2 linked regions of the Lonchura striata genome follow. The protein of the gene in region 2 interacts with the protein of the main gene of each other region in a pairwise test. Links are inferred from orthologs where the notes say so. Each region holds a gene or a part of one and is shown on either strand. Other genes may lie near its edges.

Evidence for each region.
Region 1: the proteins of CETN3 (region 2) and SGSM1 interact in binary tests that used the Homo sapiens proteins (3 or more experiments, as listed by UniProt). The two-hybrid records come from large-scale screens. The link is inferred for Lonchura striata from reciprocal best matches to the Homo sapiens genes CETN3 and SGSM1.

The regions. Positions count from the first base shown.
Region 1 is NC_134620.1:10,992,515-10,999,910, reverse strand, and holds the start of SGSM1 (small G protein signaling modulator 1), read left to right. Parts: upstream 1-4,311; 5' UTR 4,312-4,362; coding exon 4,363-4,381; intron 4,382-4,476; coding exon 4,477-4,520; intron 4,521-7,396. UniProt on the Homo sapiens protein: Interacts with numerous Rab family members, functioning as Rab effector for some, and as GTPase activator for others. Promotes GTP hydrolysis by RAB34 and RAB36.
Region 2 is NC_134642.1:67,035,895-67,043,062, reverse strand, and holds the start of CETN3 (centrin-3), read left to right. Parts: upstream 1-4,152; 5' UTR 4,153-4,264; coding exon 4,265-4,281; intron 4,282-6,348; coding exon 6,349-6,484; intron 6,485-7,168. UniProt on the Homo sapiens protein: Plays a fundamental role in microtubule-organizing center structure and function. As a component of the TREX-2 complex, involved in the export of mRNAs to the cytoplasm through the nuclear pores.

The sequences.
Region 1 (7,396 bases), on a different chromosome or scaffold from region 2:
CAGCCCCAGGGCGGGGGAATGGCCTGACCCTGCAGGGACCAGCCTGACCCTGCAGGGACCAGCATCACCTCATGGGGACCAGCATCATCCCACAGGGACCAGCATCATTCCACAGGGACCTGACCCTGCAGGGACCAGCATCATCCCACAGGGACCAGCATCATCCCACAGGGACCTGACCCTGCAGGGACCAGCATCATCCCACAGGGACCAGAATCATCCCACAGGGACCTGACCCTGCAGGGACCAGCATCATCTCATAGGGACCAACCTCACCTTGTGTGAATAAACATCACCCCGTGGGTCCCACCTAGGGGAGGGGATTCTGGCTCAGTTTTTGGGGCTGAGGTGGTAAAATGGGACAGTGTTTCCTCCTTCCTCCTGACAAATCCTTATTTCTCTCTCCCTGGTGTGTTTTGCTAAGGAGGTGACACTGATGCTTCAGGAATCATGGAGTGGTTTGGAATGGAAGGGACCTTTAAAGGTCATCTCATCCATCTGGGCTCGACAGGTCTCTCTGGGGTGTGAATTGCTGGGGAAAAGCCACACAAAAGTGAAATAACTTTCACAGCTGAGCTGTGACCAGGAGGGGATGGCAGCATCCCCAAAGCCACCACTCTGCCCTGTGGCAGTTTCACAGCAAAATTCATTGCAGTGGAAGGTGTCTGTGCAGGGCTTGCACAGACCTGGGCTCACCGGGTTCTCCCGGGGCTCTGAGGGCCTCCAGCCCTGTCTTTCACAGCCTTTCCCATCTTTAATTAAAAGAATCTACAGGAGGGAGCTGCGGCTGCAGGGCCATGGTGAGCGGGTTGCTGTGACGACGTGACGCAGCTGCCCGGCACGGGAAGCCTCTGGACACTGTTAATCCCTCAGGCACACACACGGGGAACAGTTAGAAACCTCCAGTTAAAAGCACATTTATATATTCTTTTGGTTTGTTTTGTTTATGTCTGGCCCTGGCTGCTTTGGCTATCATAGAATGGAATCACAGAATCATGGAATTGTTTCGCTTGGAAAAGCCTAAGAGTGGGTCCGGTCCTGTCAGTCCCTCCACAGGGTGGATTGAACTCCACCCTCTCCCTCTCCACTGTGGGACCTGAAATTATTGTGGCTTTAAGATGAAATAATTGTTCTCTGGACACCTCTCCTGTGAAATACAGCAGTTTTCTGCTGGTGGGGCTACGTGGAACCACAAGGATGTTCCCCAAAAAGGGGTTGGCTGGGGGGGCTCAGGGCTGGGGAGGAGCGAGCAGAGATTGGGGGGTCCTGGCACAGCCCCTCCATCACCCCCTGCTCCTAAACCTGGTGTGGCTCGCCCCGGCACACAGGTGAGGGAGAGTTAATCTCCTGTGGTTTATAGGGGATTTGTTTCCCTCCTGGCACTTTCCAGAGCCGTGCATCCCAACCCTTCAGCGGGGGAGTGGAGATGAGAGCCGAGGCTGTGGGGGCTGCCAGTGGAGCTGCCCTTGTCCCGGTTTTGGGATGAAGGGGAGGAATTCCTGCTGCTTGTGGAGCGGGGTTTAACCCCTTGATCAAAGATCACCTCCAGGAGTAAATAACAGAACTGAGGCAGCTGGTGCCCCAACAACTGTGAAAAATAATAGATCATAGAGAATACAGAATAGACAGTAGAGCATAGATAACAGAGACTAGAGAACAGATAATAGAGACTAGAGAATAGGGAATAGAGAGTAGAGGATAGATAACAGAGACTAGAGAACAGATAATAGAGACTAGAGAATAAAGAACAGCTCTTTCTCTGCTGGCCCTTCTTTTCTTCAGGTGTGGGTTACGTGGGGTGGTTTGCTGGGACAAGTGGGAGACCCCTCTGTGCCCACGTCCTGCCCCTGCTCAGGAGGGCTCAGCAGATGGGCTCAGGCACGGCCAGGGGTCTCGGGGATCTGTGGGGTCTGCGGGAAGCAGGGACAGCCCCCAGCATCCCTCGAGCACTGGACAGGGACCCATTTCCCAGCGTGAAGTAGCGGCTGTTCAAACTCTAGCATCCCTTTCAAGTTGAGCTCCTTTCTCCGTTGAAGAATCTCTTGTTTCCCTCACACCGGGCTGTCAAATCACGCCCGGGGGGGCAGAGCTGGTCCTGCAGGAACATCCATGGCCGGAGCTATTCGCACAGCCCTGCCGGCCGGAGCCGTGCGGGGTTTGCAGCGCGGGGATGCTCACGCTGCTGGCTGGGAGCTCGCTGCGCTCCGGCACGGAGCGGGCACGGCGGATGCCCAGGGCTGAGCAGAGCCGTCGGTTCGGTAGCTCCATCCCGGGCAGAGCCGCCGGGCTCGCTGGGGAATGAGCCGTGAATGCTCCCGGTGCTCCCGGCAGCGGGGCAGGGCCGCGCTGTCAGATCCATCACGGCAGAGCTTTGAGATCTCCGCGTGCTTTTAGAAGCTGCAAGGTGGAAAGAGCTGCTGGAGATGGGAGGAAGGCAGGGGGAGAGGTGTCTTGGGCACATCATGGAATGGTTTGGGTTGGAAGGGTCCTGAAAGATCAGCCAGTGCCACCCCCTGCCATGGCAGGGACACCTTCCACTGTCCTGGGTTGCTCCAAGCCCCATCCAACCTGGTTTGGACATTTCCAGGGATCCAGGGGCAGCCACAGCCTCTCTGGGCACCCTCAGCACTCACAGGGAGGAATTCTTCCCAATATCCTGCTTCTGTGCACTGCCTCAGCCACTTACTTCTGCTTTTTCCCTGTTATTTTCCTTATTCAAAGCACAAATCACTTCAGACTGAAAATGCAGAGTTTCAATCCAACTCAAATCAGATTTAAATTTGAATATCCCTTGCTTTAGAAGTTGTTTCTAAACACCATGATGGCTTGATCAGCAGAATGCTTTTATCCCACCTGCTCATCCATGCAGGAAAGTGCAGGGGAGTGAATTGTGGTCTTAAAACAACTATCCTGTTTAAGCCTCAGAGGCAGCAGTGGGAAGTTTAATTTAATTAGCATGATACTCAGAGATGTAACTTAATCACATTAAGTATAGATCAACGTGCTCTCATTTAAGCTCTCCAAGCTCCAGAAAATAGGGGCCAGTCGTCTCCCACCTGGCTTTTCCAAGGAAAAGGAACAAGCAAGGCTTGGGGGGAGCTTGTCCCTGTGCTTCTTTCGGACGATTTTCTCCCAGAGATTCTGGACCCATCTGGTCCAGAACTCTCATTCCCTTGAGTTACATTTGTGCTAAACGGGTATTTAAAAAGCAAACAAACAGCGAAAAACAAACAGAGTACATGGAAATATGGGTATGGGCCAGACTTCCTCCTGGCCCTGGAAGGTACAGAAGGGACCAGATTGGGGTCAGCCCCGAGGCCGGAGCTCCCTCCTGCTCTCCTGCCAGCCTGGGCAGTGGAGGGACCCATCCATTGGGATGCTGGTCCCTGCTGTCACTGGGGACACTGAGGCACGGCAGGAAAAGCTCCGAGGCAGAGGATGCAGCCCAGCTCCGGGGGCAGGCCGGGGGGCTGCGGGGGTGTCCCAGCCGTCCGGACCGGGACCGAGCCCGGTGGCAGCGGGGCCGTGGCGGCGGCCGCTGCCCCGGCGCTGCCGCGGTTCGTAGTTATTGGAAACTGGACTGCGGAGGAGGCAGGATGCTGTTTCTATGGAAATGTCCTGGAACAGTAAACCAGGGAAGAGGAAAACAGAAGAGATGGCAACGGAGCTGCAGGCAGGGCGCCCTCCGAGGGGCTGTGCCGGTGTGATTTGGGGAGGAGGCGTTGGGGGTCTCTGGTCGTTGTCACCTTCCCGCTGTGCCGGAGCTCACCGGAGCGGGCCCGCATGGCTCACGCCTGAAAGGACGCGGTTGTTTCACCCCTGCGAGGAACCCGCCGAGCTCCGAACCTCTGTCCACTGCCCCAGCCGTCCCCAGGTGCGGGGACACCCCCAGGGCTCTCCCCGCCCCGTGTCACCCAGCCCCGCCGCCGCCGTCCCGGGCACCTCGGGGCCGGGCCGGGGGTGCGGGAGCCTGGCCGGGATAACGGGACTCAGCTCCTGGCGGGGGGGGGGGGTGATGGCGACACCGGGAGCTGCGAGCCGGGTGTGACCGCACCATGGCACCGGTCCCGGCTGACACCCGGGCGAGAGCACCGGCACGGAGCCGTTCGCCCCTCGGGGCGCTGCCGGGGCCACCGTCGGTGCCGGGGGTACGGGGCGAGCCGGCGGTGCCGGTGACTGCGGATGCCGGGAGTGGCGCGGATGCCGGTACCGGGGGTGCCGGAGCGGCGAGTACCGGGGAGCCGGTGCCGGTCGCGGATTGGCGGCGGCGGCGGCCCCTCCCCGGCGGGGCGGGGGCGGCGCGGCCCGGCGGGCCCGGCCCGGTGCCCGGCAGTCTGCGGGCGCTGCGGAGCGAGCGCGGCCATGGCGGCGGCCCCGGCGGGTACGGCGGGCGGGGAGCGCGACCGGGGCACCGGCAGCGGGGGTGGCGGGGCAGGGCCGCACTAACGCGTCTCTTCTGCTCGTTTCTCCCCGCAGAGGCGGAGACCCGGCAGCGGCTGCTGCGCACCGTCAAGAAGGAGGTGGGTGCGGGACCCCCGGGAGCAGCCCCGGCCCGGTGCCCGCGGGGAGCTCCGGGCCCGCCCGCGGCATCCGCTGGCTCTGCTGCTGCTTTTGGGGTTCAGAGCCCCCCAACAACCAGCCCGGAGTGCGGCCGAGAGCCCACCCACCCTGGCGCGGTTGCGGGTCCCGGGGGGCGGAGAAGCATCCCTGCAGCGCCAGTGCCCGGCATCCTCGGAAAATCGCCTTTGGCTGGGGGCAGAGCACGCCGCGACTTGGGATTTTCCGCAGGAAAAAGGGGCGACTCCCGGTGCTGCATCCCTCCCTCGGGAGCGGGGATGGGACGAGCCCTCCCGCAGCACGGCGCTCCTTGGCAGGGCGGGGGGGCGGCGGATGCTGCGGACGGGGAGCCCCAAATGTGTGTGCCCGGTGCAGGGTGATGGCGTTCCGCATCTCGCCGTGCTCCCCCTTCTCAGGCATCTTTAACTCTGTTAGTTTGTGCGTTGTTTCATGCTGAGCTGCCTGGAGCTCCGTGTTTATCCCGTGTGTCCCGCCCGGTGCCGGAGCGCTGGGTCAGCGGCAGATGTTGTCGTGTCCTGCCCACGCTCTGTCCCCGCAGGTCACCTCCCGGAATGCCGGAGGGACGTGGGGGGAGAGGTGTGTGGTGTTTTGTTTCTGGTGTTACGAGCATCTCGCTCTCCGGTTTGCAGGCTCCCGGGGAGTGGAAGACGCTGCTTGGAGCCGGGAGAAGCAGACCCGTGGGTGGTGGGTCTGGGGAGGGTGACAGCGCTGCCCACCCAGACCACTTCCCACCTTTAATCCTGTGCCGGGTGTGGTGCTAAGGGATACTCCCGGTTGCCTCAGCAACGGCTATTAAACCAGGAAAAGGGCATGACATTTATTTAGCGTTGTGGATAGAGCTGCCATCTCATTATTGCTGTCTGTGGCAGCTCCTGAGTGCAGACACAGCTGCTGCAGGGTGGGAGCCAGGGCTGCTCCTGGCATCCCCCAGAGCCTCTCCTGTGCTGCCCTTCAGTGCCTGGCTTTGCTGGCTCCTAGGGGCTGGGGGAAAGTGGAGCTGGTACCTCCAGGAGCAGAGCTGGGGCTGGTTCCTGCCCTTCTGCTGGCTTTGGGGGAGATAATGTGGGTTTGGGGCAGATAATGTGGGTTTGGTGAATGTGGGTAAAGCCTGAGGGAGGGAGGACTGTGTGGGGAAAGCTCTCCTGCCCTGTGAAGTGCCACCACGGTGCTGTGAGTGTGAGTTTGACACACTCCTGGCTCTCTCTCAGCAGCCCCTTGGTGCTGACACAGAGCAGAGGCTTTTTCCTGGTGATCCCATTGCTCGGGGTGTTGGTGTGGATGTGGGCTCCCTGCAGGTACCAGGTGGTTGCCATTCCATTGGGATTTGCCTTCCACTTGCCCTTCCACTCCTGCTGGAAGTGCTGAGCTTGGACAGGGGCTGGGTCCAGCGATGGGGGCTGTGGGTGGGGGAGTTCCATGCAGGATTTGTGCTCTCCACCTGGGCTTTGCTCTGGTAGGAGTGAAAAACCTGGGGAAACATCATCCTGTAGGTTATGGAGTCAATTATTCAGCACCATCCCTGAAACCAGGAGCAGGTGGGGCATTCTTGTGCCTGTTGCTCTCTGCTCATGCTTTTGGTTTTTATTCCTCTTCTAGGCCAACCTCAGGTTAAGTCAGGAGCTTGTGCAGACTCCAAGGAGCAGTAGAAAGGGCCAGTTGCAGAAATTCGGTGTGTTTTTTTCCCCCACTCCCAGAATTTTAACCTTTCCCAAAGCTGTATTATTCTCACTTCACGAGGCCACGCCTGGTTTTGCTCCAGCCCTCAGTGCAGGTGAGCCCAGCTGAGGACAGGGACAGGCAGGGCTGTCCTTGGGGAGCTGTGCCACGTCTGTCACCCCAGGGCCATAACTGAGAAGACAAACACTGGGAAGAAGGGCTGATCTGAGCAGGGACAGAAACAATAAACTGGAATTAGCCAGGGCACGGAGCAGCCCTCAGTATTTGGCTGTTGCCATGGTTAAGGCGTTGGGTTCTGGAGAAGTCCTGTGCTGCAGTGGATGTGCAGGTTGAGATGAGCTGTGTTGTCTGTCACCATCTTCTTCCTCCCCCCCACCCCCATATGGCCACAATAAATCAAACCAACCCTGGAAGCTGCAAAACTGACTGTTTGTCAGCAGGCTGCAAGGGAAGGGGTGAAGTCTGACTTTGTCAGGCACCCTGTGTCCTGTTATGCAGGATAAGCAGCATGACCAACATTCTCTGATTTTTTAGAGCTTTTATCAGATGAAACGAGGCTTTTTTTACTAACCCAGCAATACTCAAGTTTGGAGGGATGTGAGTTTTCAACTAGAAATATTCCTCTTGTAATTAGAAATTTTCTCCTTCTTTTACAAGTTTTGTTTTGCACGGAGGAAAGTGCTGAGGTCTGTTTTCAGCTCCCTCCAGGCAGCTGCATGGCACAGAGGAAGGGAAGCAGGTGTTACCTGTGCAATCCCACCTGCACACGTGTCCCTGGAATGTCAGCTGAGTGCTGTGTGAGAGCAAACACTCATCTTGGTCTTTCTTCTGCAAAAACTTAGTTTATGTTTAACTCACCACTCAGGAAGCAGCTCTGAGTCTTTACTCATCAGTAACTGTTGAACCTGGATTGAACATTTTGCTGCTTGTTCTTCGAATTCTTTCAAATATTGGGGTTGACCACAGCCTGCTTGTCTTCTGCCAGATATATTGTTTATTTTTCAGTAGCTGGAACGGTTGTCACTGTGTAGCTGTTGACTAATTCCTCCATCATGTGTCATGGGAACAGCAGTCAGTCTCTTCCTCCCACCCTTTCAGAGAAGCCCCTGCTTTGCAGCCATGTTGCCTGGTTTGTTGCTAA
Region 2 (7,168 bases):
ACATGAGGGAGCTGCTAGGCAAAACATTCATCTTCAGCATGGTTACTCCTAACTACTCAGACTTTATTGGACAAGCTGTCTTACAATAATTTAAAACTTATTGATTAAAAAATTATTTTAGAGCTAACTGTGAGTATTCCCACACATGCCCAACAGGGTCCTGGGGAGGCAATGAGGCATTCAACAGAAAATAAAATTGGGAAAGTAAGCAAACAAGCAGCAAAAAGAGGCCTGACATGGAAAAAGGCACAGAAACTTAGTCAACATTGCTGTGATTGTGCCAGGTATTTCCCAGCAGTTTGACCCTGATGCACAAAGAAGTTCATTCACAATCATCAAACTGCCAATGATACTTGGTATGTTTTTAATTTGACTTTATATTTGTACATATTATTTGTTCTAAGAGTGACATGAACAGAACTGTTTTGACTTGCATGAAATCTTACCCATCTTCTCCTTTAAAAAATTCAGGATTAATTTAATTACAATTCTGATATGTGATCTGATTTTGAGCAGCTGGGATGAGGTTTATAGTCTTTGCATACTCAGATTCAATTTAGGACAACAGAGTGGTAGGATAGTTTCCTAATACTAATAAAATTAGGATTAGAGAAGAATATAGCTTCACTCAAAGGGAAGACAGACCTGGCAGACAGCCCCACAAATTACTTTTAAAAAGCAATAAATGAGTTTGAAAATTAAGTAAAAGCTAGTAATGTTTTTTCTGGTTATGCTATGCTTTAAGTATATTTCATTATTAATTATTTTCCTTATTAAGCTGAGAATATGTTTGTGTGAGAAACATGCTAGTGCATTCATAAGTGGTCATTTTAGGACGGGTTTAATCAACTTTGAAAATGCAAGGATTTACAAGTCACTACTACCACAACCATGTACTTATTTTTAGCTATTATTACTTGAGCCTATTATTACTTGAGCCTATTATTACTTGAGCCTGTCTTTTCTCTTTGGAATTCTGTGCATCTCCATTTCACATGCAGTATGAGCACTGCTGCTAACTTAATGAAGAGTGGCACTTTGGTTTCTGGAGCCACTTTTTAGCTTATAAATTTAGAAGTAGGGACATGAATGTGGATCTTCAGTTCCCAGAAGCACACCCAGACTATCAGTATCAGGTATCTCACTCTGCTTGACAAAGAGCAGCCAGGGCACGGGTGCACCATGAGAGAGGACAACCTGGAAGCAAAGCACAGTCACAACACTGGCAGGGATTATGAACTCCCTGCAGAGTAACTTGACCTGTCAGCAGCCCAGCGACTGCAGACAATGGCAAGGTCATGACTCAAGGTCATGGCCAGGCCACAAAGTCTGTAAATATGTCAGCAAGAGCAGCACACAGTACAAGACGGGAATAACCCCAGCGCAGCTCAGGCAAGATCCAAGACCCTATGCTGAGACCCAGGATCAACACGCAGAGGAGGTGAGAATGGGGGTGAAACAATTTGGGGCTCTTGGTGCAGCTGGGGGCTACTTGTGCTACTTTCCCACACTTAAATCACCATTTGGTTAATGCTTCCTTTTCTCTCTGGACAAGTAAATGTGTTCTATGAAACATAAAAAAAAAAAAAATTAATCTGTGGTTATATTTGCACCACAGTACAGGCTGAGGGTCAAACCTGCCAGTAATTTATGCTTTTAGTTGCAAAGCTACTGTCTGTAAACAGAGGTCAATTACAAACCGCTTGCCTCTGCCTATTTGATCTGTGGACCAGGCATAATATGAACAGACAGCAAAATAGGTTTCATCTCTTCTTGACTTTGCTCAGGAAAAATGTGTATTGAGCAAGCCAAACTCTACATATTGAACACTGTGTACTCCATGTACATAATAGTTTATTACCGGAAACACGGGTGCAAAACATCTCCAAGACAAGCTGTCAGGACTGAAACGCCTGAAGGAATTTTTCATTGCCTGAGAATTTTCAGTCTGTCTAGCCAGACTGCATAACATAGGATCTGAATAACATAATGGTCCAGTTAGTAACACTGTACTATGTTGTCAAAGCTAGTTATGAAACAGCCCTTTTTTATGAAGAAAGACACAGTGACAATTACTTTGTCACACACCAGAGCACTGAGGCAGCGCTTTGCAGAAATCTGAGTTTTCTCACCAGTGATATGAGCATTTTCTCTACACAGATATGTAATGGTGATTCACTGACTGTTTTGCAAGACACAGTAATATTAGTGTCAATGATAACTGGAACTATACATAAGGTCTTCCAATCTCCACACAGTACATATTGCTTTTGTTATGAATGGGGTCTCATATGTCCAATTTGATAAATCACAAGATTGCAATTTAGCAGCAATTTTTAATTGGGGTATAAAATAATAATAATACTACAATCAAATGTAATGAAGTGCTTACAAAGAGTAATTTGACAATGGTTCAGATAAAGCATAAGTGAAACCAATCAGGGTATGGAGAAGGCTTCTTGTCCTGCTATCCATAAAAAGGGCAAAATGATCCAAACAGAAATTTTATACTGTATGCTAATACATATTCATCAATATTTCCTGTAAATCTCCTCCCATTTTTGATTCTTGAAATCTACATCACTAATACTACACAGCGCATCCTCCTGTTGTTGCTATGGGATCTCCTGGGCTTTTTGGTGGTCTTGGAGGAAGGCCAAAGGTCTTCCTTACTTGTCCTCTGGATAACCTGGCAGGTGGCACATGCACATTAAGTTTGGTGTTATGTAAGTAAGCACTATTTTCCAATTAAACCTTATTTATCTCATAGATAAGACCACTATTTTAGACTCCCTGTCTGGAATTGTCCCAACTTTATTCATCTCCAAGGTTGGTCCTGCTCTGGGAGTTGTCTCATTCCATCTTGATGCCAGTTTTGGTTTGGGAGTCTTCCTGACTTTGTCCATTCCCAAGGCCGAATCCAACTCCTACATCCTGCTTTCCACTTGTATTCTTGAAGAAACCCGTCCGCTTCATAACACTAATCACATGCACTTTTCCAATTATTTTTCCAAATTATTGGTTTAAGTACAACTTATTCAGCACGAATCACATCTATTTATCACACTTTCAATCAAATTTTTAGCAAGGCAAAATCTGTACAAGTGCCAGAAATGCTTCTGTAAATGCCACTTTTGTGTCCATCTCCACAGCCCACTGCACCTCCAACAGTTGGACTGAAGAGTAGCGAGCAGGCTCTGGGGGCATGGGGAGTTCTTCTGACACAGACACCAGACGTTCTACAGCAAGACTAGTAGACGTGCTGACCACAAAAATCAGATTTATAACCCAGTGTGCAATAAGCCAGTAATTACACACTTGAGGGAGACATGGATTATTTGTTTTAGAGTCGCAGAAGCCTGGGTGCTGCATTGTATTCCATGAGTCAAGCACACCAACTATCAAAACTCTTTAGTATTTTGTGTATTTATACACATTTTAGCAAACAAATGCATTAATGTTCACTGGCTTCAGGTTACATCGTTCTCTTATTAATTATTATTCTATATTCTGTTGTTAATAATTCTCTTATTTCTCATGCTAATTAGTCACATGCCCAGTCCTTCTCTTGAGTCGGTGGGCAGCTTGGTAAGTGATCTGCTGGAACTGGAGCTCATTCAACACAGTTGCTGAGTTGCCTTTATTAATTTCTTCCGTATCTTGGGAGTTCTGCCAAATGTCCTTGGAGTCTATAAATTCCGAATTGTTTGTTTGATATTGAAACACGTCGTGCCCTAGACCTTAACAAGGAAATTAGGACTAAAGATTTGTCTTTCTAACCCCTGGACATTATTTTAACCTTGCTTAGTAGCGTCTATCTGTTTCAAGGATTGAATCTCCTTCCTTGTTGATTAGGCTTGAAAATCAAGATCAAACATCGAGAAATCCTTCCTTAGGGAAACTTTCCCGCGGCGCCCGCTCGGCGGCAGACGCGGCGCGGCGGCCGGAGGCGCGGCCGGGAGCCACCGCCCGCTCTCGGCGGGGCCCGCCCTCTCCGCGCTGAGTGGCAGGAGCTCAGCCAATGGCAGCGCGCTCAGGGCTCGCAGGCGGGACTTTATCGCCCCTCGGCCAATCAGGTTGGGGACTCGGTAGGGGCGTGGCCTAGCGGCGTCGCTAAGGGCCGGAGAGCGGCGCGGCCGGGCTGGGACGCGGCCGGGCCGTGCGGGGCCGTGCGGGGCAGTGCGGGGCGGGGCAGGGCAGGGCAGGGCAGGGCGCGTTTGCCGGACCCGGCGCGTTTGCCGGACCCGGCTGCGGCAGCGGCACCATGAGCCTGGCCCTCAGGTCGGTACGAGCACGGCGCTTCCCTTGCTTGCCCGCTCGGGGCCCGCAGCGCGGTGTGGGTCCCTCAGGGCCACGCTGCCCCCTTTGGGAGGCCGTGGCGGGGCCTGGGTCATCGCCGGCCTTCAGCCGGTCCCATCTGATCCCTTCGGCGGGCCGGGCCGGACCAGGCCCGTCTTTCTGGCCGGAGAAAGAAGGGTCCGGCGCGTCTGGCCTTGGGAAGTTCGCTTCTGGGTTGTCTGATGTGCTTTCAAAAGGCCTGTGAATAGGCATAAAGTTAAACTGCTTGGCTTTGTTTTGTTTCTGCATTCTGATTTAGTAGCTATTGCGTAAAGGAGCCTGGCTTATGAATCCCAGTGCCTGGCAAATTTTTATCTTCAAGTGTAATTAATATGCTTACATGGCACCTGCTACGATTAATTTTCAAATCTAAGAACTTGATGCTTGCTATGGTTAAAGTAGTTGCAGAAGTGGTACTGAACTACTTGTATTTGAGTACTGCTTTGTCTTTTGATAAATTATTTTATGCTAAGCATTAAATGAACACTTAGGTACCTGGATTGCTCCTTCAGAAGAGTTTGGTGTTAATCTGCTTTCAGATTTATAAATGTATTTCTTCATTGTAGCTCACAAAATGTGGGCTCCCTAGATCTGATCTACTTACTCTCTTGGTCCTAATTACCTAGCCAGCTCAGAGTTATTTTAGGCCTTCCAAGAGTTGTAGTAATCCAAAGCCTGTGTGAAATCACACTGTCTCAAGTGGTCTGTTAAGAACATCTTACTCGTTGAGGGTATTGTGGTTTGAAGCTCAGCTTCTGCAGCTTGCACTTTTATTGTGTGTATTTGGGGTTTTTGCTTCAGTGGTTGTTGAAAACTAAGTATAGATAAGTGTTTAGTCTTAGGTTTTGATTAAAATTAGCAAATTGTTAACAAAGAAGAGCATAAAACAGCTTGTTAGAGGAGACTTGGAAAGTTAATCTTGCAGTTTTCTGTTCATTGAACAGTAATCTTTATGCAGTCTACCCTAGGTGACGCAGCAGCACTCATTCTGCCTCTGGTGCAAAAGGACAAATGAGCATAAAAAGCCTATTCCTGATAGTATAACATAAACTATGCAATAATTTAGGAAAGACTTATGGAAGTCATCTAGTCCAGCTTCCTGATCACAGCAGCTTCTACATAAAGCTGGCTGAGGATGCTAAGCACATTTTATAATTAGGTTAAAAAAATGTTTGATGATGGAGACTCATTCCCAGTGGAACTATTCTAGCATGTCACCACATGCACTGGGAAAATATTATCCCTTAGATCCAGCTGTAGTTTCTATACCAGCTGCAGTTCTTTCCCTTAAATTTTGTAGTTATTGTCTCTCCTCCTTTTACTATGCTCCTCTGAAAATATAAGCTTATTTCTACTAGCCAAAGAAAAGGGGGCAGTCTTTGAGCAAGATTTGCTGATTTGGAGGGCTTGTCTCTTTCATATATACCAAAACAGAGCAAAAAAAAATCTTCAAAACAGTGTGTATGTGTGTGGTCTAAAGAATTAAAAAAAAATTCCTACAAGTACTATTTATCTAAGAATTGTTACAGGTGCCAAAGTTGATTTGTAGCACCTAATGCTAGCTTTTAGTAGCCAGACTGTTTGGCCTAGTTTGGCTTCCACTGGCATATCAGTCCCTAAATTAATTTTATTTTTTAAGCTACAGTGTAGAAATTAACTGTTTTCAAAAGTTGTATAATTTCAACTGCTAATGTAGTTTGAAACCTCAAAAAGCCTTTTTATCTGGTAATTTTTCTATCCTCTGTTTTTTGTTGTTGTTGATGCTTATTAACAAAAATGCCTGTGCTGGTTTATTTTGGGTGGGAGACTGGAGGTATCATTCAGATTTCACAACATAATTGTCTATTTCAAATGTTATTTTAAACTGGGAATACAAGCTGGGAAAATACTGACTAGGTAAGGTAGTGATTTCTAAAATTATGGTGAGTTTATTATTGGTGGAAATGGTTATTTACAATGACATCTTCCCAGTAGAAATCTGTTACACTACATTTAATTTTCTTTATGTAGGAATGAGCTCTCAGTAGATAAAACTAAAAAGAAGAAAAGAAGAGAACTGACTGAGGAACAGAAGCAAGAAATTAAAGATACCTTTGAATTGTTTGATACGGACAAGGATAGAGCAATAAATTACCATCAATTAAAGGTAGAAGTTTCCTTTCATTTAAGCAATTTTATAGCAGATAATATATCTGTTCCATAGTGAATACTTAAGATGCTGGCTATATCTTTAAAAACTTCCTTCAAGATGTCTTGCTTGGTTAAAGGAGTGAAGGAAAAAACAAGAAAGAATGGGAAATTTCTATTGGTATAGGAATAAGCTTTTCTTCCCACTTTATTATTTACTTCATGTGTAACAGAATTGCTATAGCATTGTAAATAACCCTGGTATAATTGCTGACCAGGGATAAGCTTGGACAGATGGAAAAACTGTCCAGGGATAAGCTTGGACAGAGGGAAAAAACTCTTGTGTTTGATTAGTTTTAAAGATTTATGACTTAAAGCCTTCTGTTGGTTTCAGATGTGTAGGTAAAATATGTAAATCAAATTTGTAAAACTGTTGACTACAAGCCAGAGCTTACCTGTATTTTTCAAAAGAAAGCCTATGATTTGTAGGAATAAGGTGTGCTTTTTGAGGGAGGCTCAGTTGTTGCCCTTCTCAAATAAGGATGCTCCTAATGATAGCCTAAACTCCATCTGCTAATAGCTTTCTATGTAAGTAAGGTCTCCCACCTGAAAGTCTGCAGAGTAGTAGATGGAGTTCACTAAACTTCCCTTAAATCATCTATGCATTTTTATTCTAATTAAGACATCAAGAACAAAAGGTAGC